2 linked regions of the Styela clava genome follow. The protein of the gene in region 2 binds, or shares a complex with, the protein of the main gene of each other region. Links are inferred from orthologs where the notes say so. Each region holds a gene or a part of one and is shown on either strand. Other genes may lie near its edges. The genes, in order: synaptosomal-associated protein 25-like and rabphilin-3A-like.

Region 1 (15,791 bases), about 4.1 Mb from region 2:
TAGTCTTTGTGAGTGAAAATTTGGAGGCTCCGCGAGCTATTCTTTTACTTAATAAGTAAATACATCCGAGTCATTAAATAAAGAACCGTAATTTTAGTTTACTCAGGAATATCAATCGGTAAATAACAACGTGTTGTTTTGTTTTTATTTTTATAAATTTGCTGTGGTGGTCTGTGAATAATAGTCAATCTCTTCACGGGCTCCGTAACATCAAAAGTTTGAGAACCCCTGCTCTAGGTAATTGGATGCTTATCGCTTTACGATTTAGGTATAATGAAGGTGGTCAAGCATCATAAGTGGCTAGATTATACTGCTATCAATATTTGAATCATAAAAAATCTGTTATTTGATTTGTGCTTTTAATATAAATAACTTTTTTCTGAAGTGTTGAAGTAGACTAAACATAGTCAAACTATTTTGATTATTCATAAACTGCTTATACTTGCAACTATTATACAGAGATTTGTGTATAATAAAAGTTTCATATTTTTCAGTATTTGAATTTTTCAGATCGAATACTGAGCAGATTTTCAGACTCGTGGTAGTGATTATCGTGATCTAACAGTCACTTCAGGCATTTTCTAATCAAATGTAGAAGAAACTGAAATTCGGAATTTTTTTAGTACACTATAACTTTTTGGAGTTAATGAAGTTCAATAATAATATAATACAGGGTGTCCATAAAGTCTTAAAATTTTTCAAAATTGCAGAAGGAATTTATCTATACCATTTACTTTGTTGTGAGTAAAAATACTTGAACAATTACTGATTGAAAAACAACAAACCTGGTTAATATATATTGAGAAATGACTTCATAACAAAATTGAAATTTTAAAGAGACTCTATGGACACCCTGTATAATTTAATTCCATTTTACAATGATAAACAAAAAAACAGCCATTCAATTTATAAGTTAAACAATGTGGTTTCGTCAGTTTATTTTCAACACCATTAAGATCACATAATAAATTCTGCCGTCATTGCCATAGACAGACGTCAATAATACAACACAGTACCAAGAATAGCAATATATAGAATAAAACAATCCGCAATGAATTGGACGGAATATTGGAAATCAATATTTTTTATTCCACAATATCATTTTGTCTTTAAAATAACCTTTATATTTAGAGCAAGGTTACTGGCAAGGGAAATGTCTAATTGGAAATGACAGTTGCCAAATGAATGAAAAATCAAAAGTCTATATTGTATAATTAAACATGGATTTCCAATGTCCATATAATTTAGCATTGATAAAGATGTTTACTGAAAATACAAGTAATGAAAAATGACAGTATAATAGCCGACTTTCTGAATTCTATTTAGCAATACGTCAGTTGGAACATGGTTTTGATTCAAAGTTATCTTTGACTTTTGAATTTTTGAATATACATTAAAATTACAATTAACTTCCAGAACAATAAATTCTAGAAACATTGCTTTGGAAACTTTTGTTTTGCAGGGTAAAGCGATTACCGCACCTCAGTTTCATACTGTTTTATATACCTTCCACAAGGCTCCTTAACAAGAACAACTTCTCGGTAAGGAAATATTATAGTTAGAAAAAACTAAAATCTTTTCCGAATCGTCATTGCCTACAAAATTTAATACACTCTGAGTGAGGTGGTGGGAATGGGATTTGAACCTGAGATACAAGCATGGGATGCCATCATAGTAACAAAAAAAGGTACTCCAATAATATGTGAACCAAGAGGGCGGACACCGGAACATAGTACGTGTACCAGGTTAGGTTAGGCCATAAATTCAGGTACAAATACTACTTGAGTCACTTGGCTAATCCCCGAACTCGTAATAGGATTATTATGGTAAAATAAGAAAATTGGAATAAAATTATGGCCTAACCCTAACCTGGTAAACATACTATGTTCAGGTGTCCGTCATATGGGTTCACATACTACGGGAGCGCCCAAAAAATACAGAAACTTGGTCAACATAATACAAAAAGCTAGCTTAAGGAATTGGGAAAAGATTAATAGTCTGTTCTCGCTAATTGCTACTAAATGAGAACCAGACAATCACAAAAATGATCATAGCTCTTAGTTCTCACATATCTTACCTTGCCCAATCTAATTTTACTGTGATTCCACTTGTGGGACATTTAACTTCCACATTCATCACCCAATATTTTTCTGGTTTGAACGATTGGATTTTATCGTGACGATCAACACAGAAACCAAGAGTAGGTGTTTGACATGGTCCATATGATATCAGAGAACTATCCAGGTTTCCATATTTACCCTGGAATCAAAAATGAGTTGATGAATAAGGAGTCGTTTGTGCGATACTGGAAAAATCTATGTTGTTATTGCGGGTTTAAAATCTCAGGTGCAGATCCAATGTTCATCACCTCACATAGGGTGCAATAAACTGGCCCAGACTGGGAACATTCCGGTCCTTCCTAACTATAGTATATGCTTGTCTACTGATGGCTGCTTGTATAAGTTGGAGTAACAAGCCTATGGAAACGTCATATAAGGATATTTTGATAAATTTTTGGGAAAAATCAGAAAGTCGATTGCTTAGTCAGTATGAATAAGGAGTTTCCCAAAATACTTGTCAAATTCAGTAGCCTATCTTAACTAAAAAAGATAAGATCAAAATCACATTAAAGTTAGACATGTGGCACATTCACAAGTCAATTGCAAAACAAGAAATTTTAACAGAAATCAACCAAGTCACAAACATGTTAATAATTACTATCAAAAACCTGGAAAAGAAAGTGAGCAAAAAAGTGTATTATCTTAATTACAAATTAACCTTCATATATGCATTAAATGTACAATTTGAGTAAAGTAGTGTCGAGTTATTGACAAACTAACCTGAAAATATCTGGTTTGAAAACGAGTGAAAGCACATCCAAGTCTCAAATCTAATTCCTGTCTCGAATCAACACAGAGTGACTCGTTATAATTAGGTTCCGCTAAATTTCTCATTGCCTCGTGAATGTCTTTATCAGTAATAGCGCTAAACCGGGCTCTGTAAACTCTTTTGCGTCCACTCTGAAAACGAAAATAATATTTATAAAAAGAGTGAAGTATTAGAGAATTCTTTATTAATAATTGGACATAATAAATCGACTGGTATACTAACAGAATTGTCCAGTACGAATTGAATACATTCAAAGTTACTACATTTTAGGAAAACCAAATAAGAATACCAGAATACCTTCATTCAATTTTTTAAAAATAATTTCTGTATTTCAAACCGGATTGATTATACACACTATGTGTTTTTTATAGAATTGAAATTCCATATTCATAAATATTATATTGGAAAGGTTTTAAGAATAGCATAACGGTAATTACGGTAGGTTTTGGCTTCCATGTACATGATAATCCATTGATGATATACTTCGAGACAGACAGACTCAACATTTTTTCAATTTTTATTCAAAAATCTTCAATTGTATTTTCGATAAATTAATTCAAAATGTAAATTATAATTTAACCTTGTATTTAAGCCAATTACCTTCAGACATTTTGGCAATGATTCAGATGTTTTCAATCAAATACAATGAAAACTTTATTTTTGTATTTGGCCTAAAACCATGACTAACTTCGAAATCGAAGATGTAATCATTGATATCATACTTCAATAAGTTTTGTAAGAAATTACTTGATGCAAATTTGAATTAGATCGTTATAAGAAATATGTTGAATAATTTTTATTAATCTGGTGTTTTTGAATATTTATATACATTCTGGGAAATTTATTCATTTTTTCAACTTTTTTTTTCATTATTTTCAAGAATCAAACACATGAACTCTTCAAAATGATATTTTTTGGAATAAAAATCTCAATCTATTTATCCGAACGCAAATTTAAAATATTTAGTATCAATTTGCAATCGATTTAATAACATGCGACTCATTTTGGACATCCAAGTACCAGAAAATTTATTTGGTCTCCCTGCTATACTTCAATTCCATTTAAATAAATTTATTTTTTATTGATACTCATCCTTATTTCATGGGTCAGACACATTAATGTTTCACAACCAATAATAATCAATAATAGCAATAAATCAATACAATTGCAATCTCTAGGAAACTTAGTAACTTAAAAATTGATTTTAAAAGTTGCCATCTGTGAAGATGGTTAATAGCACTTGATATCACTGATGCTATTTATTGATTGGTAAAGTAACTTCAGTACAAGGCACACTTGGGTCCAATTGACAATTTTTTATTTCTTTCGACTTGATTGATAAATACAGGCTCCTTCATCATTAGGAGCAAATCAATGTAAGTTCCCTAGGGCTGCCTATCTGCCGCAAAGTAGTTGCATTTCCGTTATTTGTTTTTAGAACCTCACCCAACCCCCAAGTTTGTCAGCCTCTCGCAAGAATATTTTCAGGTACATGTTACCAAACCATTGTTTTCTCAAGAGAATTTGCCTAAAATTAGCCCCAGTATAATTACTTTTTTCCCTATTTTTCTCTTTTCCATTAAAAAGATTCAACAAAAAATATATTCAAAGGTTTATTTCAAGGCATTATTTTTTGTATTTTCCCACCTAACTATAATTATTCAGCTTTACATTCTACCTATTCTAACATAAAGGGGTTCCATAAAGTCTATTAACCAAGTTTGATTTTGTTATGAAGTCAATTCTCAATATAACTTAACTAGGTTTGATGTTTTTAATCAGTAATTGTTCAAGTATTTTTACTCCATTAATACATCTGTGAGGGCCAAAACAATATGTGGAATGTGGTATCTATAAACTCCCTTTGCAATTTAAAAAAAATTAAGGCGGCATGGACACTATTTACATAAATCTTACCAAATAATATGAAGCATAAATGAATGAAAAAAATATATAAGCCTCACACTTTTATTCATGATTGGTTCCACAATGTCTAAAACTTCAAAGCAGATATTTTCTCCTTCCTTATCACAATCTAACCATAGCACAATCGCATCTACGCCTCGTGCTTCTTTTTCCAGAAACCTAAATTAGTTACGATATTTAAAATTAAAGATTTAATGGGACACTTTAGAAAGAATGAACTTGTGATTTTAGACATAAGATTTTTATTACCTATTAATAATTATAATATCTCTTAGATGATTCATATATACCAGGGGATAATTTTGAGGGTTGAGTCGAAGTTCCATTACATTGTTAAACGCCAGTTCAATGGCATGGAGGAAGGATTGGCAGTTCTCTGGCGTAACCACAACTGATAGCATAATTCCATGTGACAATTGTTTTTCTTAAGATGTTAATATGTTCCCCCCCTCCGATGCTGCATTTTTTCAAAGCAAAATAGACCTACTTTATATAATGCTCGACAGCAAAGATCACTGCAGAACAGAATTATATAATTCTAAATTATTCAAATAAGGACATACCATACTTACAAAATCCTATTTTAAAAGTACGATCAATAATTTAATCACTATCAGTAACAATAAGCATCACAAGTTATAAATAGATCGGAAGTGTGCAACATTTTTTGTCGGTGAGCCATAAGACCAAGACATCTAGTTTGGACACACAAATGAAAATAGTTTTTCCATGCACACAACAAATTGAAAAATTATCCCAATGCAAAATTTAACACGGTGACGAGAGTAAAAAAAATTATGTATTTTTACCCATTTCCAATAAGCATGAACTGTCGAATTGGGATTTTATGTTTTATGGAATGAAATTGGAGTGACAAGGGGCGCACTAAATGGCTTGGTGGGTCGGGTTGTGGATCGCGGCCCGCCTGTTGCACACCCTGTTATAGATCATACAGCTGGTTGGTCAGCCAAATAATGAGAATAACAGAGATTGGTTAAAAATTGAATAATATCATCATTCTTGTATGAAGCCTTGTCTAGAGCAAAATCTGTCGTGACTCGTCAAACATGAGACACTTCCATTATTAACCAGAATAGAATTCTCAAAGCAAACTATGGCGAGTCCGTTGCGATAAAATTTTCCCATTTATTATTTATAAACTATTTTAGTATATTAAAATTCCATTTTTGGCTAAAATGATTCATAAAATTATTCATACTTGATAATATTTAATTTGGGATTTGCTTCTTTTTTCATAGTTGGAGCAGAAAATAATTCCCCAGGATCAACTTTTTCCCAGTTATTATATTTTCCTTCAAAATCCAATGACATGACATGGCCACACACAGACGTGACTTTGAAGCTGACTCTTTCGCCATAAAATTTATCTGAAAAAATTTAATACAGTCAATGCCTTTACATTAATCCATAAACTACTTAGTTGAAATAACTGGCAGTTAGATATCCAAGATGATATAATAGTAGAATTGATTCAAATTTTATTATATTTGATATTTTAAATAACAGGTATGAGTTTTGTTCAGAGTAAAATTTTGATTATAAAAAATACTAAAACAGTTGTTTATTTCGAAATCAAGTATTTTTATTTAAATGATAATTCGACAAAGGGCCTTCCGGTAGGCACGTGTCTGTAAATAACCTTTATTAATGAACTATTCAAAGCTGAAAAGCTAAAAAGTTTTTCAACTATATGTGCAGTGAGAATTTTTTGCAAAAATGACCCAAAATAGGGCCTTCCGGAAGGCCCTTTTTTAGTCGAATTATCATTGAAACTCATTGAATATACATAGACTCATCCAGAAAATCGAATCTAATCTACAAAACGTCGATAAAAAAAAATTATTTTAGATTGTATTCAGAAGATAGAATTAAAAGATTTTAGCCATCACTCGTTGTGGGCATAGTAGATAATATGTATGAAACTCAACTAAGTCAATTAAAAAAAAACGGTAGGATTCATCAGACCAACTCAATTACTCATTGTGTCTAAAAGGCTAAAGGGCAAAGCATTGTTCAGAGCGATGAAGATATGGTTTATAAAAAGAAAACAATTGCCATAGTGTCAGTACATTCATTGGAAGAAAACTACATAAGTCTTATTTAAAGGATATATTATTTAATAAGAATACAAAATTAAATGCTACAGTACCTATTTTGACTCATTTACAGTTCATCAAGATTAAAACCATGTCACAATTTCAATTTGTTAGAAACTAGATGAGTAATAAAGCAAAATTACGTCATACCCTCATATTCACGTACAGGGCATCAATGTTTATTTCAAAATTCCAGTATTTTAAAATTCAAACTCATATAGGCCTATAAACTTCTAAAGAATATGGTCTCATTTGAAGTTGATTCAATATTCCCCATTTGAAATTAGTACTTTATAATGTTTTCAGAATTCTTTTTAAAAAATAGTAAAAGTCACCTAATTACTAACTGTGTCTAAAAGACTGTTGAGCAGAGAATTGGGCGGCGATGAGGATTATAAAAAAAAAAATTGACATCATGTTAAAAAAGGTATAAGGAAAATATATGAACCCAATTTAGAGAAGACATTATTTAACAAGAAAATAAAAATAAGTACTATAGTAATTATGTCGACTCGTTACCAGTTCATACAAGATTAAAACCATGTCATAATTTCAATTTGTTAGAAACTAAATGAGTAATAGATCAAAAAATATGTCATACCATCATATTCATGCACAGGGCAAGATCCACTGATGCTTTTCCTCGTATTACATGAACCATGAGATAAAATCTTCGCTATGGATTGAGCCAGAGACGGCTTTTCCGCAACCATTAACACTGTCCTCATACTTAATTCATGGGAAACTATGGATTAGAGATATGTAATCCTGGAGGTGGAAGTGACAAACTGTCTATACTTTTCTAGTCTTAAATATAAATTTATTCATTAGTACAGTAAATATTTCAAATGAATATAATACATACATATCAGATGAAAACGATTAAAACCATAGCAGTAAATTGAACAAAAGAATGAAAATAACGCAGTCGCTATATGGGGAAAACAATCTTAATAATAATAATAACATTGAAAACATAAACTTTGGTGTTTAAAAACAACAGATGGGGCGTGACATTGCAGAAGCAGACGAGTAACATATTATACTACAAGAAACAAACATTGGGCGGGCGTAAAGATCGAATAATAAATATTTATGAGTAGACAGCTGTTACAAGTCCCTATAGAAGTATGAACTTCAAGAGTATTGTAGTTATTAATGCTTTAACAAACAGATAACAAGACAAGACTGTGCTTGCAAAGGGTGTAACTTTATAGTATTAAATCAATACAATTGAGAAATCTTCACTGTAAAGTTTGGCAGATTTCAATAATCGACAAGATGGCCAAGTAGATATTTCATCGATTAATTCTCACTGCGGTATATTATCAGGTTTACTATATTTAGGATTCATTGTCATGACAATTGCTGAAATAATCATTTTATTACATAGGTAGAATATTACAAAATAAAATCATTGGATAAATTGAAAATAAAAAAAGACCTAAAAAAAAGTGTTCCAAAATTTGCTGTTTTGGTATAAAACATATTAACCAATTTTCTTTTTATTCAAAACATGCCACACATTCTTGGGAAAAAGAATTCTTGTTTAAGGTGTTTATATCAAGGAACGTGGACATAATGACATACCAGAAAAAAATTCAGGATTATTATAAAGTTTTCAACAATTCACATTCAATATCCATCTCAGAAAATATATAAGTTAAACAACACATTAGATACTTAGATCAAAAAATAATCGATACATACTGTACATATCATAAAAGAACACAAATATTAATAATAGGTCTTACGAAGTAAACAGCCTACACAAAATGATAAGAAATCGATGAACCTAATTGAATGGTGGTGTTGGATGAAGAGAGTGTCCTTGAGTTTACTAGAAACATAACTTGGTGTAATAAATAATTACGGAGAGCTTATAACCTTAGAGCGGTATGAAAACATTTATTGAACATTGGGTGGCCACCAATGTGAAGATAATTCTACTCTTAGCAATAAGACAAATTTGTAAAATAAGATAAATGATGATAGTGTCCTAAAATTTTCTCTATCCCAGCCAAATCATGGTATATCTAGATTTTATTTAATTTAATCTTTTCATGAATTCGCTGCATGGCATGTCACTAAAAAGCTTTCACTAAATTATCGAAAATTGTTAACCACTACCTCATAAATTTAAAAAATTCTATATAGTTTATACTCTTAATATAATTCACAAATTTACAAGTTTAAGATAGTCATTTCCAATGTTTTAAAAATCCAAAATGTACCAAAGATCTCCGTGCTTATTCAACTATGATTTTAATTCAAATCATTACAACTAATTTTATTCCAAATATCGGCATGAAAAAGTTGAGTAATCAAAATGTCGAAAATGAACAACCAATCACCAGTGTAAACGTGAAAGTCACCTTATTCTCAAAATGAAAGATGGTCTGAAGATGAAAAATGTCACAGAATGTCATTATCATTCCAATAGTTGCAGACTTACTTAACATAGCAACAAAAGTTTCAACATGAAAAATCAATTTTCAATCTTTGATAAAAATACTTTGACTGTTTTGACGATGAACCCGAATCGATTGGAAAAGTCAAAAAATGTCATTTCGTAAATAAATCATTTTACAAACAAATGAATAGTCTGTAGAGTGTCGAGTATAATGCATTGACCTTAATAAAATATTCATGAAGGAATTCCAATCAGAATCAAACATATGAATTAAAATATTATAATGCAACATTTGATTGAACTGGATATCAAGATGCAGTTGGGTTGTCAAGGCTTCGAAGAAAAATTCAATCAAACTCATATTGTATATAACAAATTAACGTTGGGAATTTTCATATTCAAAAATACTATAATTTTGAATATTAATGACGCCAATTAATGATATCTGACTTATAATATCAAAATATGTTTTATTGATTGGCAATATAGAAAACTATTTGAGATTATTTCTTGTCTTTTATCGTGAGAATTTTGTCTCTATGGAATAATAAGGGTTGGATTCATACTCAAGCATAATGTTGCGCTCTACTAATTTTAGATTTCAAACTACCACCCATAACATTTGTCATTCTCAAGAACATATAAGAAGAGGCTGAACCCATAAATGTACTATAGGTTATGATTTGGGATATTAGAAAATTTTCATCAACAACAATAACCAAACCAGGTCATCGTCAATGTAAGCATGCAATATTGCACAACCCCATAATACTCACATTAATGCACTGTTAAACGTGCATAATGGAAATCGTTTTTCAATATTACTGATTTCATGAAAAAAATCGCTACAGAACAACTATAATTAAAAAGAAATGAATAAAGATTATCAATTACTGTTCAAAGAGGTGTAACATTTTCTTAACTTTAGTCAGAATTTTACATTTGACAGACAAAAGCTAAAATAAATAAGCAGAATTTTGCTATGAATTACCGAACAGATAAAAAAATTTCAATCATCTTTGTTTAAAATCTTCCAAGTCAAACGTAGAATCTTTGCCTAATAATATCAGTTTGAAAAATATCAGAAACACTCAAGTGCTGCTTCAGAAATACAATGCTGATTAGTTTTATAATTATTCACAAGTAGATTTAGCAAGCTCCTCCATTTATATTTATTCTTCTGAGGAGCTGACTGGGGAGTCCCGGATCATATGATACTATTTAAACAATCTGAATTGACCTATCAATAATAATGAAGAATATATACTCAGTTGTTGAGTATTTTTGCAGCCCGTTGGTTAGCGGAATCAATTCTGCCCTTGTTTGCATCAGCTTTTGCGTTGATTCTATCAATTTGGTTGTTTTGTGATGAGATTTCATTGCCCATATCTAAAGCCATGTGCTTCAGATTACCGATAACTCCAGCAACTTGTGTCAAATTCTCTTCCATCTCATCTTCTCGTGCATCGTTTGTTACCCTCTTGACGTATCCACCACCAACTTGTGCCATCGTTCTCTCATCCTGAATCCTGGCCCCGGGTTGGTCGCTGACAACTTTATCTTGATTTTTACTGAATGCTTTTTTATATTCGTCACCTTTTTCAAAATTTTTAGCTCTATTCCATGGGCAAACACATAATCCACAACACTTTTCCAATCCTTCTAAATTTTTTTCCGCTTGTTTCATGTCTTGATTAATTTGATCCATTCCTTCATCGATCCTATCGAGTTGTTCTCCTTGTTCATCAAGCATAACTAAGGTTCTGATTCCAGCATCTTGTGTTTCTTCCATCAGACCAACCATACGACGAGTACTTTCCAGAGACTCATCAGTAATTTGGTTCGCCCTCATCTGCATGTTGGCGAGCTCGCCTCTCATGTCATCATCTGCGGCCATAGTTTATTTTGTTGATGACTACACAATTAAATATGTAAATTAGAATACAATCTGCTATTTGGTATGAAAGTTGAAGTTTTAAAAATACATTGAGAAATATTTTATAGGATAACAATGCAACAATGACACTCCATATATCCTAAATTAGATACACATGTTGTCTCACTCATCCCATATACAACTGTCGCGCTCTGATTGTGCATGAATTGCGCAAAATCAAATAACAAACGATTGAAACACCTGAATATATTCTGCTATTAGTGTATACCTGCTGATACAGAACCAGGAGAGAAAAAAAATAATTCTAAGTAGAAATGTTTGAAACGTATAGAATTTAAAAATAAATGGGGTGGCTAAAAGAAGTAAGTGGTACGTGCTCACTAACCTTCGCAAGTTTTTACGGAGCTTAATAAGTAACGTCTGACTAGGTAGGTATAGCATTAAATACATCTGTACATGAATGAATATCAGAGTTAATCATTCTTATTACTGGTATATGCAGTACAGCAGTGTGACACAATTCTCTGATCCCAATTCTCATCCTTTACTAGACAGTATGGGCCTCCGACACTGTGCTAAAAATGTGAACATTCGATTTCTCTGAAGAAAATAGTCCGATTTCAGGAAAAAAAACGCAATTTCGGTCATGTGACGGGCTGTCAGCAGACACATAGCGCGAATGCAGGAATTACTTCAATTATGACTGAAAAATGGATGACGCGTTGTCAGGGTTGTCCAAAACGAATCGAATATTCGAATATATTCGAATATCAAGGTATTCGAATACCTTTTCGGCTGATTTTCGAATAATTCCGAATAGTAGCCACTTTTTGCCGTAAACGTGGTGTTTCGTTTTTTTTTTACGGGAATCTTTAAACGACTTTTTAAATCGGCACTTTGATTGTTTATATTCTGTGCGACCGTACGTCGCATAGTGTTGCGACACATTTGCACGTTTACGTGGGTGGACATTGCCGACATTCGTGTACGAGGCTTTTAATTTACAAATTCATTTCCATTACGTCGAAAAATTGAGAAAGTATGTTTCTTTTATTTCTATGTGGCCTGCTTATTATTCGCATGAGTCTTCTCAAGCATGATTTGTGTAACCTTATATTTGGGTCTTAGGGTCTGCCAATCATGATATTTAATCGCAGGCTGGTTATCGTTACTTTAAAGAGGAACACAGCCACCAAGAAAAAGTGATTTGTGACCCTTTCGTTTTGCCGATTCAGCAAAACACCACAGGGACAGGAAAACACAGCTGTGAAATAACCCGTGGACGTACAGTGTAGTACTTATCACATTCCAAAATTATTTCAACATTCGGGTTAATAGGTTGTCCTAAATGATTGCCGCTTTACAACTTAAATTTACCGCTCAATTGTTAAAAATAGTTAATTCTGTGAGTATGATTCTACCAAACTAACATGATCTGGTTCTAAACATATAAAATTATTAGCGAATTTTTCTACCCGTCTTATTGGAGGCCTATATGGAAAAACCCCTTTTTTGAGTGCTAAAAATAGACATCGTCCTATTTGCCATGTGGACTTATTAGCCGGGAAATACGGTATTTATAGCCGTAATTGTTACGATATCCAATAAATTGTCACAAGTTGGAAAAACAAGTCGATTTATTAGAAAATAATTTCTGGCAAATAATTCTGATAACGATAGTTAAAAGTATCGATCCTTTCCAGGATGATTTTTTATAGCGCAAAATAATCCAATCCATGACTGGTACCAGCATTTAAAATGTCATGCCGTATTAATTTAATTCTGTTCAACGTAACTCATGGTTGTATCGACTATCTGTGGACATAAAACGTGTAGTAAACTGACCGATATTATTAAATATTGATTCCTATTTGTATATTGCTAAAATAATGAAAGTATTAATGCCAAATACAACGGGTATTTGTGGACATGAAATACGTGGTAAACTGCCCAATTATAATTAATTTCGGATTCGTGTTTACAAAATAATAAAACTAATAATTCTAAAATGCAACGGCGATCTGTGGCCTTCAAATGTGTGGTAAACTGCCCGATTTACCAACATTTGAGTTATGATAATAGAATTAAATTAACACGGTAAGGCATTTTAAGTAGTAGTATCGGTCATGGATTCGAATATTTTGCGCAGCACAAAATCATCCTAGTAAAAAGTCCATACTTTTAAATACAAACCAATGGCAACCATTATACAAATTAGTTCCCAAGAGCGGGATAAAATATAAATTCTTTTTCCGACTTGTGACAATTTTTCGTGAGTACGAAAATAAGAATCAAAACTAATTATATTCGGAACAATATCACGGCAATCTGTGGACATAAATTGTGTGGCAAACTCGCGATTAATATTAATTTTTGATTCCTATTTTCGTATTTACAAAATACAAGGCGATCTGTGGACTTACAATGTGTGGTAAACTACCCGATTATAAATAGTTTTTGATTCCTATTTTCATATTTATGAAATAATAAAAGTATTATTACTCAAACATACAACGGCGATCTGCGGACTTAAAATGTGTGGTAAAGTTCCCAAATATAATTAATTTTTGATTCGTATTTTTGTACTCACGAAAAAATTGTCACAAGTCGGAAAAATACCTCATACTTTATCCCGCTTTCCGACAAATAATTTGGGTAATGGTTGGTATTTAAAAGTATGGGCGTTTTACTAGGGTGATTTTGTGTTGCGCAAATATTCAAATCCATCATCGATACCACTATTGTCGTATTAATTTAATTCTGTTAACATGACTCATGGTATATAAAATATATACTGCAATAATCTGCAAATATGAAATGCCTGGTAATATAGCTAGGTTGTAACTTGTAGATAGCAGTTATTCCATTGCTCATTGTATGGAAATTCCTACATACATTTAGATAAGCTTCAATTAGTGGATTTTATTTTCGAAGTATTCGAAATTTCATATTCGAAAAAAATAATTTCGAATGTATTCGAAATAGTGAACTATTCGGTATTGGCCATCCCTGCGCGTTGTGACGCTTATGCCGCTGTGCCAGACTATCTTGTTTCATAGACAAACAAAGAGATTGTTTTATGGAAGCAAATTTCGAGCATCTCGGAATCGGAGATTATGCCCAAATGGGCTCCAGTGAAATAAATGCTGTAGGGTGGTGTAGCCAGTCTGCGAACGATTTCATTCAAACCGCTATAAAACAAAAACCATCATTTCTAACCCGTTAATTTTTTCATTAACTTTCTACGACCAGGGGTTAAAGCTATACAAATCCCCAAAGTACGACACTCTGAAGACGTATTTGCGACCAAACGACCAGTGTGCGATCACAGATTTCAAGCCTTGAACATCATTTCTGCTGCGTCGAGACTAGGGCATATGCAGCCATGCGTGAAAAAATGGGCTTCTAATTGCATTTTATGACCGTCATATATTTTAAGAACACGGTTATTTCGAACAAAATTCTTCAAATTATAAACAAGCTACGAGGGATAAGTGGACGATAACGCGTGAGAAATAACGTCGCGGTTCGTTAATTTTTTCGGCATTAATTTAATCGATGGAGTTGATGGTCGCAGATAGGTCATGGCCACAAAGTGGGTAAGCCACCCTAACTGTTTAAATAACGTTGAAAAGTAAAGTCTGAAAGTAGTGTGAAAATAAAATACTTCAACTGCTTAAATATACGAAAAGTGTCTCAAATCTTATTTTTTTAATGAAAAACTTGTATTGCGTGAAACACTAGGCTATACAGCTAGACTATATGACACCCTATTTCTGTATTTGGCATGAGACATACTCCTGTACTCCCTGCACGGTATGTACCTTTTTAGTTGGAAATTGAGGTTAGATTTTAATTACCGCCAACTTACTGTACCGTACCGGTACCTGTATAACAAGAATTTCAATCCGAGTAGACTATTACTGTATTACAGTATTACGGTACCGGTACAGTATTACCGGTACCAGGGTACCGTACTGTATTATATGATAAAACAACTACCGTGAACACAAAGGCAACTGAAATTCAAACTCATACTGCAGTCAGTACTGTTTTAACTGTTAGGATACGGTACCGTACTCTGGTACCTGAACGAGTATGGTACAGGTACCCTCTGACTACTGGACTGTACGGGTGGAGGCTAACTCGCCATGAGGGCTAACTCGCCATGGACCACTCGCCATGCGACAGCCATACCAAGCACGTCCCATTTACCCCTAGTCTTATAATCTTATAGAATAAGTTAAGGCGTCCTAAACGTTCACAGATTACTAAATTACATATATCCATGTTTAACTCAGTCCGGCAAGCCACAAATGCCGGGAAATGAATCAAAATCAACTGAACAATAATATCTCTATACAGTGTTGCCAGATATGATGGTAAACAAGCATGAAATTCACAGTCGCGAAAACAAGAAAATTAAAATCTAAGCTAAATATCACAATTGTTTTTTTTTATGAACAAGAGAGCTATGCTCAAATATATGGACACGTAGCGCCACGCAGTGGCATTAATTTTGATGACGTCATAGCGAAAAAAAAAGTAA
Region 2 (15,872 bases):
GCACTTGTGCTGCTGGTGAGACTGATTGTATCAATACTCCCTTTGAAAAAAAAGGACAGAATTCAACGAACATAAAATACAATTGTTGTACTCAATAATATGTCTATAGAATACATTTGCAATATTGTCGCATACACCATAAAAGTAATTCAATTAAACATTTAATTCAACTTTCAATATACTCATGTTATGTATACTTTCATATATGATAATCCATTGTTTATATATGATCAAATATCTATTAGGTTGGCCACTGTTATTAAATTTGCTACATTTTGAAGACCAATACTTAACAGTATATAGTTTACTATTAAATACGTATACAATATAGTTTATACAATTCAGACAATAATTGTTGCAAACTATCGCGAAGGGGTTTCATGAGCTTCTCAAATGTTTCATTGGGGTTTCACGCCACCAAAAGGTTGGAAATCACTGCTCTAACCACTAAGCCAACTCGGCAAGAATTCATTTGTTAATGTGATTAAAAAATTCTAATCCTTATTAATAAAATACTCATTGTACATCAACATTCTCAATCATGTGAGAAACAACATTAGCATATTGATTTTGGTATTCGATTTAAAGCCTTGTGTAAGATACACATATAAATTTTCGTGACAATTTTTGAAAAATAAATAATTAACGATGTCATTAGGTAGGTTACTCTACGGCTGACCGCCATTAATTTTTCATGTGAAATGGATCAGTTTTGGGTCATATTGGGACAATTTTAGACATTCAAATAATTTTCTGCCTACTTTACCCAGAAAAATGACACCGCATGTCAGTGTTGGGACATTTTAAATATGTATGTTGCCTGACCTCAAAAATTACTCATTTCATCTTTCTGTTTCAAATTGTGACGTAATATTTGTGTGATGTTATTCAATACATATATGAAATGACTTTGAAAAAACAATACTTCATATTATATCACAAATGATTCAGCAAAATAGATTATTGCAAACCCCCGAAGCAAGCCTAAAATTACAATATATCTGGTTATGTTTATTTCTGAATGAGACAATTGCTAGCATATTATAGGGAAATTGTCTCAAATTCTCTGACAATTCTCATCACTAATCAGTGTAAAATGTAAATAAAACTTGGGGAAAATAAGATATTATCCTGTTTTATTATTGATTCAGGATATTTATGCATCCATGATATACCGGCATAATTATTACGGTAGTTTTTGAATAAATTTGAAAAAATAAACTTTTTGGTTATTTCAGAATATTTGCGTTACCAACAAAAAGTGAGTTATATTATTAAAATAAGACTGCTGTTTGAATAGACCTGTGTATTGTTGAAAATACATATATAGGCATAAAAACCTGAGAATTCCTAAACAAAATAATATGAAAGTCCAAGTGATTATTATCACTCCTTTTTAAAATACTTGCTGATATTTCCAGCTTTGACACAGTCACATTGCTATTTTCAATGTTAAGTCCTTTATGGAAATGTCTAGGTAAAAATAGAAATGCTAAAAAATGGAATCTCCAATAAAATGATTCAATTAGTTGGATTTATAGTTTAATTTAGGAACTTTTAGACTGAAGTTTCAATTTATTATTAAACACTAAAATATCAGATATTGAGAAGCTATGGATAATGTCCATTTTACCATAAATCTTTAAACTACGCAATAGCGAAATTAACTGAATTATGTTAAGACGTTGCGTTACGAATGTGATGAAACCCATTCAATATAAAACAATACCAAAATAACCAAATTTAGAAGTGCCAGTGTGTTTCTATTTATGACTCACAATTATGCTAAGCATTTCCTGTTGTTCAATGGAAGCAATTTTATTTTGTTACTACTAGTTAGTCAGCTATGAATCACTTTTTTAACAATCAAATTCTCAAAATACTTAATTATTACACAATTCAGTTTTATATATATATATATATTCCAAGCCTAAAATAAACATATCGAATGTTTGCGAATAAATTTGCCAATTGAATATTAATAATCACGGAAAAGGTATATTTAATGACTGATCTGTTTGATAGTGATTTATCCCGTACTTTTTAGGTAGGCAACATCATATTTGGCAGAATAAAATAAGTACCGGTAAGATTACGCTTTGGCCCTCAATGAGTGCAAACACACAAATTTTCATATTTTTCAGATTTTAATATCTAACAATTTTTTTGTAAAATGTAATATTAAATTGTTGATTTCCAGGAGTGAAATTTAAATAATTCTCACCATGTAAAAATCCATAGTTTTTATCCTAATTGGACCATGAATACTTAGGTCACTATAAGTATATTCATATATAGATAAAAATTTGTGGGTGATTGGACTGTAATAAATATTTAATATCATTTAAGAATAGGAATTTTCTAATTTCGATGGTTGACAATTCGACGTCCGCCCGTGTATAAGCCACATGTATCAATTTTAAAATGTTACATTCCGTTACTATAAATACTCTCTTCTATTTTTGTTTAAAAAATAACACAATTCATCAAAGACTCCAATATATAACTTAAATACTACAGCATTTATTAATGAATATTATCATGTTCACGTGATTGCTAAAAAATCATAGCTGGATAGTTAATTTGATTACGCTTATTTTAATAATGCCTGGAAGCCATAATTTTTACAAAAGAAAACATCCAATGAAAATAATCAAATTGCAAAATTAATTCATTTCACAGTCTACATATTTCTTTTATTCTTAATTCTAAAGATCAATGATATTATTTTAAATTCGATCAATACGTCATAATCTAATACATAGGCCAACCTAAGTATGAAAAAAAGAATAATGACATGAATAAAACAAGGTAGGTTCAATAAGCATAGAAATCCATAAAGAGATTACTAAACACGCAAACAGCAGGAGGACAATCTAATATAAGCGTGAATTTGTTGCTAATATCCTTAGGGATTTGTAATAAATTACATTCCCTAGCCACCAATCACAATTGAAAGAAAAGGCTTGATTGGGTAAACATGTTGATTGATGATCAATACCCCAAGTACAATCACTTGAATATTTTAAGAAGATTTGAAAATTTATAACGAAAGATCCAAAAATCATGATCATGTAAAATTTGAAGTAAAATAAAATACGAAAATACTTCAATTTCTGATACAAGATAAGGTAACGGTTTGATTGAAAAGAAAATCTTCCCAAATCTTCGGCCTTTATTCTCTCTTTATTTCTCCCTCACTTTGCATGCAAACTTTTTTAGTAGCAAAGTATTTTGGTAATAATAAAGAACTATGAATATCAGTAATAGTACCCCAAAAACAAAGCAAAATTCCTTTACAAGAACGACTATATTTGTCTTTGGTTGGAAATCAGGTATAATAAAACAAACATAAATGCAGTACATTGAATAATACATACTCAGTTGCATATTTGATGGTTTATTAGTTTTTCCTAAAGTTATTCCATCGTCATCTGATGAGCTTTCTTCAAACTCAGAACTACTTGTCAAATGAATCTCTAAAATACAAAAATAGGGGTTTTATAATCCAAAAATTCATCTATATTGTAGTTTACACTGACGTTTTTTAATATTAAATTGATATGTAAAATAGTTGATTGTGACATAGTCAATGATTTCCATTTTCATGATCAAACATTTCCTGTTTCAAACAAAGATCAGTCAGAGAATTGTGGAACTAATACATAGGGATCAGATAAATCCAAATATATCAATATTTAGTTTTCATTACAATGACACATTTACAATTTCAATAATAATATTTGTCGAAATTTGGACATACTTGATGGCTTAGTCCATTGAAATGACCCAGTCGAACCAGCAGAAACCGTCCTACGATGCCCTTTGCCACCCACAACCGGTGAATCTGGAAGAGCAAGAACATCTTTCCTATGCATTTTAGGCGAATCAATGACTTCAGGGACATAAGGTCGTCGTTGAGGCCTTCTTTCAATATGGTCAACATCAGAATGCCTGAAATTCGGCAACTTGTATCTAAAACAAAATGAAATATTATGCATATTTGATTGTTATTTATAAAGTCTTACAATCTAGTAGAAATATGGAAGACATTTATATTACCAACATGATAATTCTAATTAATACAAAACAAGCGCTGAAAGGAAATTTTCATTTTTTGAGTGTTCTTGAAGTCCTAAATTAAATTAGGAAATAAAAGTGTGCTTCGTACAAATAATGTTTGGCATATAAAGGTGTATAAAATAAAGTAAAATACTTCATCCGTTTGCAATTTCACAAATCCAACAAAAGTTCACACAAAAACATATTACTTAATAACGATAAAGCAAACATACGTTGGAAGTGATTGGAAGAACCATGCACCAGAACGTTTCCAAAGTTCTCGATTTTCACTGCAGATCTTACATAACCAATTCATAGATAGATTCTGTAAAAGTATAATATGCATCTCAGCTCAGCTATGCTTCATATGAAGTAACAAAAAAATATTTTAATCACTCTGTAGATTGTAGAATAAATTCTTGATCTCAATTTAAAATGTATCTTCGATGGTACATTGCAATCCACAAAGGGTTTATGAATTTTTCTTATAAAATTCCCTAAAGTATTTTAACATACCCTCATGCAGGGGCTGGGACTTTCCATAATTTTTTTTTTTTTTGGGGGGGGGGGGGGAGGAATGTAATATTAGAATGTAATTTTACTATTCAAATACTTGTACTTATAGGTAGGCAACAAAATATTTGGCAGTATGAAGTAAGATTACATTAGGCCTTAGCCCTCAGTAAAGGCAAAACACAATTTATCATATTTTTTTTATTTTAATAATATCTAACAATTTTTTGTAAACTGTGATATTAAATTGTTGAATCCCACGAGTGAAATTCAAATAATTCTCAGTGAGTAAAAATCCATATTTTTATCAAAAGTTGAGTGTAATTAATAGGAAATGGCAAAGTATCAATCAATAAGTTGAAACTGTCATAAATCATAACCTTGATAGTCAAATAATTGAATAATAAATGTCCAACGATTATTAGGCACCAAAATATTTGGCAGTATGAAGTAAGATTACGCCTTAGCCCTCAATGAGTGCAAAACACAAATTTCCATATTTTTCAGATTTTAATATTTAACAGTTTTTTGTAAACTGTAATATTAAATTGGTGAATCCAACAAGAAAAATTTAAATATTTCTCACTATGTAAAAATCCATAATTTTTATTAATAGTGGACCATACATACTTGGTCACCTAAAGCATAGGTTCTCAAAGTGCTCCGTACGGAGCCCCAGGGCTCCGCGAGAGAAACCCAGGGGCTCCGCGAGCTATTCGATTACTCTTCAAAATACTGACTCAAAATTTTGTAACTGTTCAAAGAAGCAATAACATATAAAATCTAATAACAATATAGCCTAGAAATATGGTAAATAGGCGGAATTAAAAAATGACATTATTTATAAGCAGGAGCGCAGCCAGGATTCTTAAGAGGGAGGGGGTTTAAAATTGGAATCGGAAATTTTCGCGCAATATTCTTCGCGATTAAAAATACTGATAACGAGATTTCTGTTGCGTAAAATATTCAATCCATGACCGATGCGAACATTTAACGTGTCTCGTCGTTATAATGTAATTGTGCATACCGTTAATTCGAGATTACTATTAGGTTTACTAAAATGAAAGTATACTATTTTAAAATAACATAAAATATGTGATAAACTGCCAACTATAAATAAATTGGAGTCGTATTTTTGCGACCTTAGGATTTGTCAAACTTGATTTGTTCTTTCGCACTTGAGATTATTTTTAAGCAAGATATCACCGTTTGAAAAATCACAATGTCTGGGCAAAATACGAACAATTGAAATTTATTTTATTGCATTCGGCTCCGTCGATAGTTTCAGAATGAAAAAAGGTACATCGCGGATCGCGCGCACAATTGATTGCGTGCGGCTCCGTCGGTAGTTTCAGAATGGGAAAAAAATGGAACATAGCACACACAATTGACTGTAATTCGATTTCGCAGTTACTACGATGAAAACCTAACATAACACCAAATTTTGTGAATATACAATGTCTATAAAAGCGTTTTCAATCTGAGGGGAGTCTGCTGAAACCAAACGCGTGATCTTCCATTCTTAAGTTTCAGTTGTAATATTTTAGAATGCCGTTTTTCAATCAAGAAATTAGAGTTGCGGATTTACCTCCTCATTAATTATTATTTTTAGCATTTCGTCGTCGATGACTATAATATGGTAACATGTTTTTCACATTGAACTCATAATTCCCCACGAGAACAAAAAAGCAATTAGAGTCGTCAATGTGTAACAATACATGTATATGCCGAGGGAAATTTTTGATTTAGGGAGAATAAACACCAGCGTAAAGATGTTTAAAACACGCCATGCTGACGAAAAAAATCGGTGATTGTAACAAAATGAAATCGCGCACGTTATTAGCGGCCTTTTAAGTATTCCAAAAATGTCAAAAGAGAAAGATTCGACCCCTACTTTATTAATATGTTCGTCAAGTGTCAAATTTACAGCTTTAGTATAAAATTAAGATTTATTTATGACTTGTGTTAACCCTATTAAAAAAGGTTCAGCATTTAAAATAAGTAAAGTACTTTTAACTTGCTCAGGAATATTAATCCGAAAGTAACAATTTTTACATTCAATTTGGGGCTCCGCGAATAATATTCAATCTTCCAAGGGCTCCGCAACACCAAAAGTTTGAGAACCCCTGACCTAAAGTACCGGTATATATATAAATAAATAAAAATGTATGGGTGATTGGGCTGTAATTACCGGTAATAGGAAATACGGAGGACAAGAATGGAGAATAACAATCAATTAGATGAAATTGTCAGAAATCATAACCTTGATACTCAATAATTGGATAATAAATATCTAATGATTATTAGTATGAACTCTAGCGTAAAAAAGGCTCAATTTAAAAGATTAAAGTAAGTAAGTATGATCAAAAAAGTAACGTCTACTATCAATTATAACATGAAATATATTGAAGGAATGGGGCCTACCTGAGCAGAACTTTGTTTTCCATTTATATGTTGTTGTCCTGTATCATAATCCACACAACATTTGTTGCAGACTTTCTGTCGTGAAGAAAGTGGAAAATTATTTTAATTTTAATGATAGTATTTCAGATAAAATTTGAAATGGGCTACCGCCATTGTAATACACAGGAGAATTAGGCTTAGTCTAAGCTAAGATAATTACAATATAGCAGACTTATAATAATATGAATCACAAGGAACAATCACTGCACTCAAAATAGAAACTGTCATTAAACACGTAAAAAATTGAAGTTTTTTTTAAAGTTTGGCAATTTGACAAGCAGAGTTACCTTCTTACAATCCATACAAATGATTGGTGCATTTCTCGAAAATTTCCCAAACTGTTCTGCACAGAGAATGCAAGTTGCTTGACCATCTCCCATTGAATTCTGTCGCATTATGTTCAAGTGATGCACGAGTGACCTAGAAATGAACATAATAAATGACTTTATAAACCAATAGACAAACTGAGTTAGGTTCAATGTTTGATACATTTTACCACACCTCGAATTACCTCGCGTGGATTTAGAGATATGAATACTGTGTGAAAAAATATGTGTGAGAGGATATGAGGATTGATGGACTCTTGGTGGTTTACGTAACCGCTCGTGAGGTATGGCTTTCCCAATCAATCAAAATTGGTGAATTACTATTTCCATGCCTGATCTGAACTGGAAACTAGAAAAACGCCATGGTTTGCCATTTCATCTATCAAGATAACACACAAAAATCGAAATTAGAAAAAAAAAATTAAAAATTTACGACTGATGCATGAATGCCATCGGCAACCAAAATCAAAGTCTTATTTATCAAAATTATTGAATTTCATACCCGACCCTTTCCTGTTCAGTTTCTTCCAACATTTTTGCTTTATTTATTACATTTCGTATCTTTTCTAATTCATCATGAGTTAGAGAATTTGATTCTGTTCGACCAAACTGATTTGTTCTTACCGACCATCCTGACCTAAATATAATTAATAAGTCTTTTTTTTTTTACATTAATAACTTTTCTAAATGTGCGCATACAGCATGACCCAAGTGTGGCAGCACAAAGTCCTTTGGGTATTAAAAGATTATCATCCGACAATAACACAAGAAAAACTGTTATTTCTCCCATTTTCACAAAAAAGCTTTTTTAACTTTTGCTGTTTAGGTTACAACCACGAAAGGGGACTCAATTAAGTATGGTGTATGATTGCTTTTTCACAAAATTAAACAGCAATAAATGATTGAGTGAAAATATTATTCATTCAATGAACAAGTTTTATCTATATCTCTAACCTATTTCATTATCAGTCAAGCTTGAAAATTGTAGAAATTTGTCAAAAATTGTGAATAATTTTGTTCTTCAAATCAATGATTATTATTATTGTATTTATAATTACCTCAACTTAGCTCTGAGTGCCAAATGACGATCATTAGGGCAAATCCAAGCTGAGGTATTAGATTCGTCATGCATATTTACATTTGCTATGCTACATTACCTCAATTTATCTGAAAAATATATACACATACATACATGCGGTACATTGTCGATATTGACATTTTTTTTAAAAATAAGCAATTAAGTACATTCAACCAGAAAATATGATGAAAAAGGTTTAAAAACTAAGAAACATTAACTGTAGGCAGTAATAACATTGATGAAAAATGTGAATTTAATCTTCAATCTATAGAATATTATTGAAGTGCTATAACATTTTAGCAGTGGCTTTTATAGAAAAAAATTATGTTCAACAACCTAAGTCTTTTATATCGATAATGTGACAGCACCATAGTAAAATGTAATTGTTGAAAAAACAAATTTATTTTTGTATATCATCAATATATTCCATATTAAAAAGAGTCTTTAACTTTAAAATTCAATTGATATTACACAAAATAACGTATTTTTGAATACAATCAATTCTGATAATACAACACAAAGTGCAGCATGGATATCACATAACCAATGACCCTCTTTCTGTTAAAAATGTTAATTATTAAGATATGAAATCAGTCGTTCTGTGATTTCTAAGGTTTTTGTATTTTTCATTTATATCTTTTAAGCTTTATTCAAGGCTGTCTCTCGATTTATACCACGATGAAGATTTCATTCTGTTCAAAGCATAATCCAGAGATGATGTGTCAGTAGTGTAATCCTTCATTTCTGCAATTTTCAGTTTGTATTCTAAGACCTGTTTCTGATGGATGGATGCTTTAAAAGCATTTATTCTTTGTATTGATTTGGTTATTGCTTCTGGATACATGACACGCATGCGCGGAATCGTATTCATCATTTTCTCCTCAATTTCTGAATCATTTTCTAGACTGTTCTGCTCATCTCCCATATTATCTATTTTTACCAATAAGTAATTATATTGCAATGCAATAGAATAGATGAAGTCAATAAAAAGATATCCTTATTGATATGTCGAACATATTCTAAATAAAAATTACAGAAGCATAATAAAAAATATTTGTATACTAGAGTAGAGTGTTTAGATTTGTCTTTATCGATTGTATATTCTCAATTATAAATATCCATTCAGAATTCAGAAAAAAATGATTCTTTAGAAAATCAAAGCATCAACTATGGGTACCAACCCAATATGACTTATTATTGTAGAATATCAGACTGTATCTATCTCCTATATCAGTACCGGTATATAAGATTGACAGAATTGATCGTAACTACCAACGAAAGATATAAAGTAAAAGTAATACAACAAGATAGCAATTACCTAAGTCAAACACACCTGTTACAGTGTTACCGGTAGCATTATAATAAATTTGTTTTCAAAAATACATGGACCACTTATGGGTCTCGTGTAGTTTCGTACTTCTAGTAGGCGTAGCATAACAGTTTTTTGGCAAGTCAATCCTGCGGATTTCTTCCTGATCTTGAAACTTACAGTACCAACTTTCAGACTTTTTAACTTTTACAAAGTTTGTACACTCAAGATATTCAGTAGGATAGGATTTACATATTTATCCAGGGGGAGAGGAAAGCCGATAAGACGGCTTATCCATATGGCGAACCACGGCCTCTCGTACGGTTACCATTGCAAGTCGGATATGGGATTAGTTATATATATTGTTTGTTTTTCGGGAGAATAGACTTGGTGGTAGAGGAAGCTTTAACGGACCAGCGGCGGTTACGTGAACCACCCAACGACGGCGAGGAGTCCAGCAATCCTCTCGCACATAACCATTCCTGCATGGGATTCGAACCTGAGAACCCACTCAGAGTAATTCTGTAATTAGAGGTGCGGTGGCGAGCGTATTCCTAACGCTTAGCTCGTTGAGCCACACCGCCGCGCCTACCGGTCACCCGGAGAGAATCATTAATTTTTAATAATAAAAATTTGAATAAAAAAATATTTTACAAACACTCCCGACTCCTCGCTATAAAATACATTAGTGGTGGCAGCCTAAAGTCTTTTTGGCTTTTAGGCTACCAACCCCTCTCATAAAATACGCATATTACTGTATTAGCAGCCCTGGGGCTCCGTACGGTCACGGAGCACTTTGGGAACCTATGGATTCAGTGATTAGAGCAGCGTTTCCCAAACTGTAACCCGCGGAACACTGGTAAAGGGACAACACTAAAAGGCTGAAGGAAGAAACGGATGAAGTGGAGGGAAAACGGAAGTTGAAGTGTTCCCAAAGGTGAAAAATTAAAAAACACTAAAAGGCTGAACACTAAAAGGAAGAAGTGGATGAAATTTCTTCCGACGGGTAGTTAGGTGGCTGAAGTCACTAAAAAGCTGAACACTAAAAGGAAGAGGTGGATGAAATATTTTCCGACGAATAATGAGGTGGTTGAAGTCACTAAAAAGCTGAACACTAAAAGGAAGAAGTGGATGAAATTTCTTCCGACGAATAATGAGGTGGTTGAAGTCACTAAAAAGCTGAACACTAAAAAGAAGAAGTGGATGAAATTTCTTCCGACGAATAATGAGGTGGTTGAAGTCACTAAAAAGCTGAACACTAAAAGGAAGAAGTGGATGAAATTTTTTCCGACGAATAATAAGGTGATTGACGTCACTAAAAAGCTGAACACTAAAAGGAAGAAGTGGATGAAATTTTTTCCGACGAATAATGAGGTGGTCGAAGTCACTGGTTGAAGTCACTAAAAAGCTGAACACTAAAAGGAAGAAGTTGATGAAATTTCTTCCGACGAATAATGAGGTGGTTGAAGTCACTAAAAAGCTGAACACTAAAAGGAAGAAGTTGATGAAATTTCTTCCGACGAATAATGAGGTGGTTGAAGTCACTAAAAAGCTGAACACTAAAAAGAAGAAGTTGATGAAATTTCTTCCGACGAATAATGAGGTGGTTGAAGTCACTAAAAAGCTGAACACTAAAAGGAAGAAGTTGATGAAATTTCTTCCGACGAATAATGAGGTGGTTGAAGTCACTAAAAAGCTGAACAGTAAAAGGAAGAAGTTGATGAAATTTCTTCCGGCGAATAATGAGGTGGTTGAAGTCACTAATAAGCTGATGGATGAAATTTCTTCCGACGGATAATGAGGTGGCGGAGGTCACTGAAAAGCTGAACACTAACAGAAAGAAGTGGATGGAATTTCTTCCGACGGGTGGTGAGGTGGCTGAGGTCACTAAAAATCTAATCACTATAAGGAAGAAGTACGTTAGGGTTAGATGATATTTTGTCCTATCAATTTTGAGGCGGTTGAAGTCACTAAAATACCGAACATTGGGAGAGTTAAATAGCCAAAACATATCCCGACGGAAGTGAGATTGGATGAAGACCCTGAAAGCGGACTGATGAGTAGGCATGCCCCTTTTAGATTTATGAATTGAATCGATTAAAATCGCAATTTTTTTCGAATCTGATTTACGCGATTCGAAAGAAAGAGAGCCGTTTAGCGAAGAAAAACAAACACTCCAAATAACACCAATTGCCAGACGGGAATGTAAATGAATTTTTCGTTATTTACTTTTATTGATCTGCCTTCATTCATTTTCATGTTCAGCGCAACACACCCTGATCATCACTCGAGATGCTGACGTGCTGTGTGGGTAATTAATTTCCTTCAATCTGTCAGTTGAGTGACTGACCTAAGTTTCTATCACACGCAAATTTAAATGGATCGTATACCCGAAAGTTCGTTGCAATTTTGTTAAAAATATGCAACAGCACACCTTCTCTGCGACTAAGTTATGGTACGCCTTGACATGATTTGATAAACGATCAGATACCGACTTCTAGAAAACTTTTAATTTTGATTGAAATTTAATTTAAACTTCGTTGAAATTGAAATATTTGTACTACTGAAGTATGCGCACCAAGATGTCGCACAACCTGATCCCTAACCTCGTACACCAGTGATTTTCAACCTTTTTTGTATCGCGGAACACTTTTTTTATTCTAAAATTGTGACGGAACACCAAATGAGAATTTTGGAAATAAACTATATTATGCAATTAACTGACATCGATCATTTCGGAAAAAAATAAATTAACGAGATTTAATATTAGCTTGTCAACTTCAGCTGGAAAAGACGTTACACATATTCCGATTCAGAGCTACTGATGAGCTAGGAACAGAAATGGTATTTTAATGTAATATCTGGGCCTGTTTCGATGAGTTTCAATTTTTTATTCTGGCTGGAATTTAATTGAGAGAGACAAACACGCAGCTCTTTCTCGACGACTCTCAATTTTTCGTGTTTTTATACTCTTATGGCGGCCAAGAAAAGGGTGGGCAAAATCGAATATTTTTTCGAATCAAATAATTCGAATATTCTTAACAAATACCGAATAGTCCAATACCGAATATTTTTTATACGCAGCAGGGTCCAGAACGTCGGAGGTAGATTTGGAAATTAATAGAAACATTGAAAATCGGCAACAAAGCGATTTTTACTGGTTAATTTCGTCATATGCGCTGATATTTTGTCCCCCTGAACGTTTTTAAATTCCCGCCATTTGTTCTTTTGCGCAACTATTAATTCCCGTGGGTCGGCGGAGATCGAAGTTTCATATTATTGATATAATTATGAGTTCACATCAGCGACAGATTTTAATGACATTAAGGAGTGATTTCAAAGCCAAATTAATTGTATTCTGATATTTATCTTTTGCGCCGACTCTGATCTAACTTATCGCCGTTTGCAAATTAAATGTCCCAGTTTTAAGCAAATAATATTATCATTATCGTCAACGGGATGCACACATTTATTATTAAGACGACAATTGACTTTCTTAGGCTCAGTGTTATTTTCGAAATAAATCAATTTGATACTGTGATTAGATAAATCTGTGAAGCTGTGATTGCGTGAATAAAGAATGTTGATTTAAAATCTGAAATAAAGGCATTTCTACGTTGTCGTTTGGCAGCACTCTCGAACGATATTTTACATACGCGACCTGATACCAAAAAAATTGTAAACAATTTTGTGCCCAAGTGCTTTTCGTACCTAGTAGAAGGGAAGACGCTAATTATAATTAATCACCTCAAGTCACCATTTATTTTGCAACAAATCAATACCCCGACCAATATCATAGCTAATATCGTTACCGGGAAATTCATAATTTTATTTACGGAATTTGCAAATTCAACACTCCAAAAAAAACGTCTTTGTAACTCTTAATTTCCGAAAATGATTTTCTATTCGGGTCATGCATGCGGAGGCTAATAACATCTTTAAAATCTGGTAACTTTATTTTAGATATCTTATTTGGGTTGACGTTTCTACATTTACGGACTAGTGTCGGCACGCTTTTTGCATAATAACAGTGGAAGCCGAGGGTGAATTCTCGCGTAATCCAAGCGATCGATTTACCGGCGTGAATTCCGTGCCCAAGCAAAGCGGTACAGATTATGTGGTATTGTACATACGAATAGTAAAATGGCATTCGAATATTTTAATATTGTATTCGCTATTCGAATATTTTGCACAGCCCTAGACCGGCCATGCTTAAAAACTCATTTCGCAAAGATAGGTAGTGGAAAATGATAGCAAGATTGGAAGCGGTTGTGAACCGCGCTTTGTGAAATTTATATAAATCCATCGGACGGTTAAATATCAGTTATGACGTCATAATACTGCAAAAAAGCAATTTTCTGCGGAACACCCGGAGGTCTCTCGCGGAACACCGGTGTTCCGCGGAACACCGGTTGAAAATCAATGATCTATAGCAGTGGCCGGCAACCTTTTTTCAGTAACGGACCGATAAAGCCTGACCAAAATTTTGGCGGACCACCTTTATACAAACGAACTAATCTAATGTAATAAATAATATGCGTTAGAAAATGTATGTTGACAATACATTCAAAAACGAAGGTGATACTATTCACGTAACGTATTTCTTACGTTAAACCCACTTCGATCTTTCGTTTTTGTAATTGCCATTTTAAAAACCCAACCTCACATGAAGATAACAATGGCATTGTACGTTTTCATGTCACCTTTCTGCGGACCGGTAGTGACCTTTCCGCAGACCGGCGATGGGCCGCGGCCCGGTGGTTGCCGACTACTGATCTATAGTATATGAAGGAATTTGCATACAATAAACAATGGAATAACTGTTATCTACAACATGACTATATTACCATGCATTTCATGTTTGCAGATTACTGCGATATATTTTTATATACCATGAGTTACGTTATCAGAATTAAATTAATACGGCAAGCATTTAAAATAGTGCTATCGGTCATAGATTTGAACATTTTGCGCAACACAAAATCATCCTAGTAAAAGTCCATACTTTTAAATACCAACCATTATCCAAATTATTTGCCAAAAAGCGGGATAAAGTATAAATTATATTTCTGACTTGCGACAATTTTTTCGTGAGTACGTAAATACGAATGGATTTTTTTTATATTCGGGCACTTCAATGTCCGCATATATATCTTTTATTATTTTATAAATACGAAAATATGTATCAAGAATTAATTATAATCGGGCAGTTTACCACACATTTTAAGTCCATGGATCGCCGTTGTATTTTGTAAATACGAAAATAGGAATCAAAAATTAATAATAATTGCCGTGATAATTGCCGTGATTAATAATAGATTGCCGTGATATTGTGCCCGAATATAATTTATTTTTGATTCCGTATTTCATTCCTTGAACTTAATATCTGTTTTTATAAATTTTGCAAGCAGTTCACGCACGAAGACTTTGAATAATGATGTATTAGTCAAATCGAAGTCCTGTTAGACCACTGGTTCTCAACCAATGGGCCATGGGCCACTGGTAAGCCTCAGAGGCATTTTGAGGTGGGCCACAAACATATTATAAATTACGAGGTTTGTTGATCTAGAACAGCTAGATATGAAAATATATATATATTAATTTGTTTGCACATTACATCAAAATTAAAAAGAATATAACGAGAATGTCATGGCCTTCAATTCGGCAGGCTCGAACTGAGCATAACATATAAAAAATTAACAAAAAACGAATCCACGAGGACATTGTCTCATAAATACGAACAGAACAAACATTAAATTACCCAATTCCTAATATATTAAATTTTCAAGTATTCCTCACTATCCATCGGAGGAAATTTCATCCACTTCTTCCTTTTAATGTTCAGCTTTTTAGTGACTTCAACCACCTCATTATTCGTCGGAAGGTAATTTCATCCACTTCTTCTTTTTAGTGTTCAGCTTTTTAGTGACTTCAACCACCTCATTATTCGTCGGAAGAAATTTCATCCACTTCTTCTTTTTAGTGTTCAGCTTTTTAGTGACTTCAACCACCTCATTATTCGTCGGAAGAAATTTCATCCACTTCTTCCTTTTAGTGTTCAGCTTTTTAGTGACTTCAACCACCTCATTATTCGTCGGAAAAATTTCATCCACCTATTCTT

What was found.
Region 1: the proteins of rabphilin-3A-like (region 2) and synaptosomal-associated protein 25-like are in contact, whole or in part, in a crystal structure (PDB 5LOW), measured with the Rattus norvegicus proteins. The link is inferred for Styela clava from reciprocal best matches to the Homo sapiens genes RPH3A and SNAP25. Residues at the interface, in NP_598202.2 of Rattus norvegicus: His617, Ser618, Ala621, Ile648, Ser649, Ala650, Lys651, Gly652, Leu655, Tyr659, Leu662, Lys663, Lys665; in NP_112253.1 of Rattus norvegicus: Glu38, Asp41, Ile44, Arg45, Leu47, Val48, Met49, Asp51, Glu52, Glu55.

What each region holds. Positions count from the first base shown.
Region 1 is NC_135257.1:17,694,766-17,710,556, forward strand, and holds synaptosomal-associated protein 25-like, read right to left. Parts: upstream 11,311-15,791; 5' UTR 11,243-11,310; coding exon 10,613-11,242; 3' UTR 7,739-10,612; downstream 1-7,738. Other genes in the region: DNA topoisomerase 3-beta-1-like, read right to left, coding at 2,078-2,259, 2,841-3,020, 4,854-4,974, 6,035-6,203, 7,534-7,660.
Region 2 is NC_135257.1:13,555,229-13,571,100, forward strand, and holds the start of rabphilin-3A-like, read right to left. Parts: upstream 8,562-15,872; 5' UTR 8,497-8,561; coding exon 8,423-8,496; intron 8,002-8,422; coding exon 7,867-8,001; intron 7,459-7,866; coding exon 7,326-7,458; intron 7,075-7,325; coding exon 7,000-7,074; intron 4,388-6,999; coding exon 4,296-4,387; intron 3,976-4,295; coding exon 3,764-3,975; intron 3,480-3,763; coding exon 3,381-3,479; intron 41-3,380; coding exon 1-40. UniProt on the Homo sapiens protein: Plays an essential role in docking and fusion steps of regulated exocytosis.